Linked DNA regions of Canis lupus familiaris. Each later gene encodes a partner of the first gene's protein in a complex. Links are inferred from orthologs where the notes say so. Each region holds a gene or a part of one and is shown in the gene's direction. Other genes may lie near its edges.

Region 1 (3,565 bases):
GGGACGTCTTTGTGCTTTGCTGATAAAGCTTAGCTTGATAGTATTGCTTGATCCTGTCTTTACCACCTTGAAAAAAAATAAACAGGGCAGCCCTGGTGGCTCAGCAGTTTAGTGCCTGCCTTCAGCCCAGGGTGAGATCCTGGAGACCCACCCCGGATTGAGTCCCATGTCAGGCTCCCTGCATGGAGCCTGCTTCTCCCTCTGCCTGTGTCTCTGCCTCTCTCTGTGTGTCTCTCATGAATAAATAAATAAAACTTTTAAAATAAACAAACAAATAAATAAACAGAGCATCTGGATGGCCATGCAGGCTTTAAGATGCAGATAAATGATCTTCCTTTATTGCATTGACCCTTACATGGGTCCCAAGAAAATAGATGTTCGTAATTTTGACCAGAAAATTGGTCAAAAGGCTGTCTAGCCTGTTCTTGAATATATTTGGGGACACCAGCATATAGGTAATAATTAGCCTCTAAACACATGACCATAAATACAGCTGGCAATTTGCCTTCAAAATATATTTGTGAATTGTCTGGGCACTGAAAAATATATCCTCTTTTCAGGTGAGCGAAGGACCACCTCTGAGGCTTTGGCGGTCGACCATTGAAGTCCCTGCAATGCCTGAGGAAATCCTAAAGCGCCTACTTAAAGAGCAGCACCTCTGGGATGTAGACCTGTTAGATTCAAAAGTGATTGAAATTCTAGACAGCCAAACTGAAATCTACCAGTATGTCCAAAACAGTATGGCGCCCCATCCCGCTCGGGACTACGTTGTTTTGAGGTGAGAGCTTCCAAATGGATTAACAGTAGCAAGGATGAGCCTGCTATCACTGAATGTGCCAAGATAGTAAAATTATGTAAAATAGAAGGTATGCCTCTGACATAATATCGAACCCTTCCAAATAGGGAAAACATATCTCTGTATATTCCAGCAGTGTGTTCATCCCTGAAAATAGTTTGAACGCTTTTGGAATCAAACTCAGAAATAGAAGCACACTTGGGACATCAGAGTGGCTCAGTTTGTTAAGCATCCGGCTTGATTTTGACTCAGGTCATGATCTCCAGGTCAAGAGATCGAGCCCCACCTCAGGCTCTGTGCTCAATGCAGAGCCTGCTTGTTCCTCTTCCTCTGCATTATTCCTGCTCATGCTCTCTTATGCTCTTTCAAATAAATAAATAAAAACTTTTTTAAAGATTTAAGAAAATAAAGAATTAGAGGCACATCCAATTGAATATGCTCGTCGGTAGCAGATTCTTGCCCCTTCTAGGACAGATTTTCTTGCTAGAAACAGCTAGTGAATGCATAAACCAGGAAATAACATTTAAGTCCCAAGTGAGCTGTGGTTAAAGCTGAACTATATGTAATTCATAAATACTCTGGAGACATTATTGAAAGAGGAATTCCAAAAATCTTTGAGGAAATGGCACATCATTAGTCCAGAGCTTTCCAACAGAGCAATACTCAACTGGATGTCTATGTGCTATAATACATTTGTGAAAGGTAAAAATGGTTTTCATTCACCCTTGGTACTAGTTCTCTTTCAAAGAACTGATGTGTGAATATATCCCCACTCTAATGGCTCTGGATGGAGTTGCTTGTCATTCAAGAGCCCTTGGACAATAGTTCAGAAGATGCCATCTATCCAGGACTGGGTCACACAGGAGAGGAACTCATCCTGCCCCTCAGCTGTCTCTTCTGACAGCAGGACCCATTTGAAACTTGGCTTCCAGGAAATTCCATCCTTTGCCTCTGGTTTTGTTTCTACAGAACATGGAGGACTAATTTACCAAAGGGGGCATGTGCCCTTTTACTCACCTCTGTGGATCACGACCGGGCACCTGTGGTGGGGGTGAGAGTCAATGTGCTCCTCTCCAGGTATCTGATCGAACCCTGTGGATCAGGGAAATCTAAACTCACCTACATGTGCAGAGCTGACTTAAGGTAGGTTCTGATTCTGATTTTTTGCCGTGGTGAGGGGTCATGAAGAAGATGAGACTTTTTGTCTGATACAGAGAATGGCCTAAATGAACACATCATTGTATCTTGTCTGCTCTCTAAAGAGCAGTCTTTATAAAGGAACACCTTCATGTTTCTTGGTACTGTGGAAATTGCTTCCTAATTCTGATCCCTTAGAGAAAGTGGCACTAAAGCAATATGAATGTACTGCTCCTGCCGTGAGTTCATAGCCATAGGAAATGAGAGTTTGAGCTAGCCAAGTGGACGATTCACATTTTATAGTCAAAGGTATTTGAATATATAACATGCCCTTTTAGTAATTAATCAGGCCTGCACCCTGTGTCATTGATGAATGTGGGTTCATATCAGAAAACTCATGAAATTCAGTAGTATAGACAAAAACACGAACCTCTTCAAACTTTCCAAAGTGATTACATTCTCATTTGAAATCTTGGCATCTGGGTACATTTTCAACTCTCTATGTGATCTATCTTTGTTCTCTATGCTAAAGCTTTCCCTGAACAATGCACTCAAAATCTGAACTCAGTACAGTTTCCTTGAGAAACTTCGCATTCCAGACATATAATGGATGTGCCACGAGGTTACCTGGGAATAATTGGAGTAATAGTCTTTACTTCCATGGCTTCTGGATCAAGAAATGAAAGTGTCTTCAGAACCCTCTCCGGCTTATTGCAGTGCTTTCCAATCTAAAGAACCCCTCCTGCTTTTCCTTTCCATTGTAGGGGCCACATGCCAGAGTGGTACACAAAATCTTTCGGACATCTGTGTGCAGCTGAAGTTGTGAAGATCCGAGACTCTTTCAGCAATCAGAACACCGAAACCAAAGACACCAAATCTAGGTGATTCCTGAAGCTAAGCGGCCACATCTGCCATCTGGATGTTTGTTTCTGGAAGCCCATGCCGGTCCTTGAAAGAGTGGATTCTGAGTCTAGTCCTGAAACAAAGAAAACTAATTTAGAGTGTGGGGATCAACTAGCAATTGAAGACGTTTTTAAAGCTGCTTCCTGTTTGTTGAAGGTCTAGATTTTAGGCCTTGACTGGAATATATAAGACTGTGCACGAAAAAAAAAAAAAAAAAAGTATTCTTATTCAAATTGCTTCTGAGAAGCAAAGCTATAAATACATTACAGAAAATAATGAAGATACTTCATTCTCTTGTGATACTGGTGTATGTGTACCTATGTCATTTTATTTGCAGCGTGTTGAGGGACTGTGTATCCACTGGAATAGTTGGTACTCTTTGACCTGTTTCTCACTGAGATGAGCAAAGAAAGGTTTGCACAGAGGAGTGTGTGTATGTGTGTTTGTTGCTGGTTGAATGGCATAGTTGTATAAGTTGGAACGCAGTGTCTGGCACACTGAGACGCCTCCAAGAAGGATTTTGATGTGTCAGGTTCAGTTTAACCTGGGATATCTGACTGCCCATGGACCCATCCAGAAAGGGGACCCAACATCCTTGTTCACTTATTTTTTTCCAAGTTATTAAGCACATTCCTTTTTCTTTTTAAACCAACCTCCTCTTTCCTTAAAAGTAATTGTAGTAGGTTGATTCCAACCCCTTCTCAAACACAGCATGTCGTTAGACCGGGT
Region 2 (3,565 bases), on another chromosome or scaffold:
TAATAGTAGCGATTGGCATCCACCTCGTTCTTACGCACTTTCCCGGATGACTTGCTCCCCGAGACACTCCAAAGCATGGCGCAGCAGGTACCAACCCATGTGCCAGCGAGCAAGTGTGAGGCTCTCCTGGAGGACCAAGAGCCCCTTGACCCTGGCCCCGACTGACCCTACACCCGCTCCCTCTTCCAGCCCCACCCGTCTCTCTCCGGTCGCGGCCCCCACCCTCAGTTGTACCCCCACACCCGCCCAGGTCCAGGACTTCGGCTGGCCCGAGCTGCACGCGCCCCCCCTGGACAAGCTGTGTTCCATCTGCAAAGCCATGGAGACGTGGCTCAGTGCTGACCCACAGCACGTGGTCGTACTGTACTGCAAGGTGGGCTGGGACCTCGGGTTCACGGGGCTGGGGTGCCCTGAGCCTGGGGCGCCGGCTGGCCCTCCATTCCCCTCTCTCTCTCTCTCCCCCTGTCCTCAGGGGAGCAAGGGCAAGCTCGGCGTCATCGTCTCCGCCTACATGCACTACAGCAAGATCTCTGCAGGGTGAGGCTCCCTGGCCCCTGACCGGCCCCTTCCCCAGTGACCCTGTCTCCAGCTGCCGGTGATGGGCCCATCCCCCTTGAAGCCCCCCTTTGTGTTTGGAGAGCCGTTTCCTATAAACTTGGCCTTTCCACCTCCTTTTTTCACTTGTATCTCACCACAGTTCCCAGCAGAGGATTTGTATCAGGTTCCCAGAGCTGCTGTAACAAAATGTCACAGACTGACTCAGTGGCTTAAGACAACAGGAACTAGTTGTCTCCCTGGAGACTAGGAGTCTAAAACCGAGAGGCCGGCAGGGCCGCGCTCCCGCTGAGACCCCGAGCAGGACCCTTCCTTGCCCCTGTCTAGCTTCTGGTGGTGACCAGCAGTGCTTGGCGCTCCTCGGCTTGCCGCTGCGTCCCTCCAGCCTCCGCCGCGGTCATCACGTGGCTTTCTTCCTGTGTGTGTGTCTGTGTCTGTCTGTCTCTTCTCTTCTTCTAAGGGCACCCATCATAGTGGATTAAGGGCTCATCCCTACTCCAGTATAACATCTTAATTAATTCCATCTGCAACGACCCTATTTCCAAATAAGGTCACGTTCTGAGGTACATATCTTTTGGGGAGACACAGTTCAACCCATAACATGGTCTCATCACCCCCGTTTTACAGAGGAGGAAACTAAAAACTCAGGGAACACTTGCCTGAGGTCCAGCGAGTAGTCAAGTGACTGTATGTGGGGCTTCTAGTTCTTTCCACCTCCACCCCGGGGCTTCCTCTAGAGTTAGGGGATCACACATCTCCTCCCTCCCCTGGGGCTTGGGGTTGGGAGGCCTGGACAGATACCAGCCCCTAATCCCCCACACTTGGCCCTGCGGTCCCCAGGGCAGACCAGGCGCTGGCCACGCTTACCATGAGGAAGTTCTGCGAGGACAAGGTGGCCGCGGAGCTGCAGCCCTCCCAGCGCCGGTGAGCAGCCGGGGTGGGGCTGGGCCACCGGAGCAGCGCGGGCCCCGAGGCCGAGGGTCGCTCGTAGGAGCAGCACACCCGCGGGACACAGGGCCTGCGCTGAGAACTCAGGCCCAACACGGTCCCTGCTCTCACGGAGCTTGTGGGAAAGACAGACTTGCAGGACAGTCGGAGCCCACCTCGTCATGGGAAGCAGAGGGCTGGGGGGAAGAGCAGGCTAGGCGGGGGAGCCAGCAACTACAGACCTTTGAGACGGCAGAGGGTTGAGGTTAGATGTGAGGAAGAACTTTCCAGTGAGCCGGGAGACGGGAGGGGCGTGCTGAGAAGGGCCGGCCTTCCAAGGCTGGGCAGGGGTGTGCTTAGTAGAGATGAAACAGAGGGACCTCCAGGGGCGAGGCTTACGTCCCCCCCTCCTGCCCCCGACCCCCGCAGGTACATCAGCTACTTCAGCGGCCTGCTGTCCGGCTCCATCAGAATGAACAGCAGCCCCCTCTTCCTGCACTACGTGCTCGTGCCCGTGCTGCCAGCCTTTGAGCCCGGCACCGGTGAGTGTGCCCCGAGGCGCCCCGCGGGGAGGCCTGTCCTCCAGCCCCTCCGCTGAGCGCCCCTCCGCGCCCTCTCCCGCCTGCCCCTCCAGGCTTCCAGCCCTTCCTCAAGATCTACCAGTCCATGCAGCTGGTCTACACCTCGGGAATCTAGTGAGTGCTCTGCTCCCGGCCTTCCTGCCCTTCCAGCCTCCCCAGGCGCCCCCGCCTCCAGCTCCGGCCACTGCACCTGGTGCACCAGGAGGGAGAGGCTGATGCTGAGCAAGCTGGAGGCGTCTCACTGGGGCTCAGACCCCAGGCTCGCGGCTCCCTCCTGACGCCCCACACCCCCGCCGCCACCCCAGCCCCACTGCCTCCCATTCAGCCTCTGTCCCGTCCCTCTCCTCCTCAGTCACATCGCCGGCCCCGGGCCGCAGCAGCTCTGCATCAGCCTGGAGCCGGCCCTCCTCCTCAAGGGCGATGTCATGGTGAGGGGGCCATCCTGGGGAGGGGGTGCATGGGGGGGCGAACGCGCCAGCTGCACGGTCTCCCGTGAGTCATCCAGAGGCCCACTGGCCGGCGGAGAGCCCGTCCCCAGCGAGGGCATCGCCTTGAGCTGAGGCAGGGCAGAGCCGCAGCCTGACAGTCCCCAGGACGGAAGCACAGAGGGGACGCCAGCGGACAGGAAGGCCTGACCCCCGGTCTCCCTTCCCTCATCCAGGTGACCTGCTATCACAAGGGTGGCCGGGGGACAGACCGGACCCTTGTGTTTCGAGTCCAGTTCCACACGTGCACCATCCACGGACCACGGCTCACTTTCCCCAAGGACCAGCTGGACGAGGCCTGGGCTGGTGAGTGGGAGACAGGTGTGGGGCTGGAGCCCGGGGAGGGGGCGGCCAGGGGACCTGGCTCCTCACCGTGTCCCCCGCCTCCCCTCCCAGATGAGAGGTTCCCATTCCAAGCCTCCGTGGAGTTCGTCTTCTCCTCCAGCCCTGAAAAGGTCAAAGGTGAGAGCCAGCCCCGGTCGGGCCTACAAGTCGGGGCTGCAGGTCGGGGCTGCAGGTGACACCCCGGCCCTCAACACCTGGGTGGCCCTTCCGCAGGCAGCACCCCACGGAATGACCCTTCGGTCTCCGTTGACTACAACACCGCAGAGCCCGCCGTGCGCTGGGACTCCTACGAGCACTTCAATCAGCACCACGAGGACAGCGTGGACGGTGCGGGGCCGGCCCGGCCGCCCACTCCCTCCCTCCCCGCCGCAGACGCCCCTGAGCTGGAGCCTCCGGCAGGCCCCGACATTCACTCCCTCCCTGGTCCTCTCCCGCCAGGCTCCCCCACCCACACCCGGGGACCTCTGGATGGCAGTCCCTACGCCCAGGTGCAGCGGGCCCCCCGCCAGACCCCGCCGGCACCCTCCCCGGAGCCACCTCCGCCCCCCATGCTCTCCGTCAGCAGCGACTCCGGCCACTCGTCCACGCTGACCGCCGAGCCGGCCGCCGAGTCCCCTGGCCGGCCTCCCCCGACGGCCGCCGAGCGCCAGGAGCTGGACCGCCTCCTGGGGG

What was found. The genes of interacting proteins can lie anywhere in the genome.
Region 2: the proteins of DLC1 (region 1) and TNS2 are in contact, whole or in part, in an NMR structure (PDB 2LOZ), measured with the Homo sapiens proteins. The link is inferred for Canis lupus familiaris from reciprocal best matches to the Homo sapiens genes DLC1 and TNS2. Residues at the interface, in NP_001335010.1 of Homo sapiens: Glu811, Asp812, His813, Lys814, Pro815, Gly816, Thr817, Phe818, Pro819, Ala821, Leu822, Thr823, Asn824; in NP_736610.2 of Homo sapiens: Asp1268, Leu1269, Leu1270, Arg1271, Gln1272, Gly1273, Ala1274, Ala1275, Cys1276, Lys1317, Ser1319, Ala1320, Gln1321, Thr1324, Leu1387, Asp1388, Pro1389, Asp1390, Gln1391, Val1403, Leu1404, Leu1405, Gly1406.

What each region holds. Positions count from the first base shown.
Region 1 is NC_049237.1:37,354,157-37,357,721, reverse strand, and holds the end of DLC1 (rho GTPase-activating protein 7), read left to right. Parts: intron 1-560; coding exon 561-778; intron 779-1,765; coding exon 1,766-1,939; intron 1,940-2,697; coding exon 2,698-2,818; 3' UTR 2,819-3,048; downstream 3,049-3,565. UniProt on the Homo sapiens protein: Functions as a GTPase-activating protein for the small GTPases RHOA, RHOB, RHOC and CDC42, terminating their downstream signaling.
Region 2 is NC_049248.1:44,543,416-44,546,980, forward strand, and holds part of TNS2 (tensin-2), read left to right. Parts: intron 1-250; coding exon 251-373; intron 374-472; coding exon 473-537; intron 538-1,015; exon of another isoform or gene 1,016-1,118; intron 1,119-1,395; coding exon 1,396-1,479; intron 1,480-1,911; coding exon 1,912-2,024; intron 2,025-2,116; coding exon 2,117-2,177; intron 2,178-2,415; coding exon 2,416-2,491; intron 2,492-2,724; coding exon 2,725-2,854; intron 2,855-2,944; coding exon 2,945-3,010; intron 3,011-3,106; coding exon 3,107-3,220; intron 3,221-3,331; coding exon 3,332-3,565. UniProt on the Homo sapiens protein: Tyrosine-protein phosphatase which regulates cell motility, proliferation and muscle-response to insulin. Phosphatase activity is mediated by binding to phosphatidylinositol-3,4,5-triphosphate (PtdIns(3,4,5)P3) via the SH2 domain.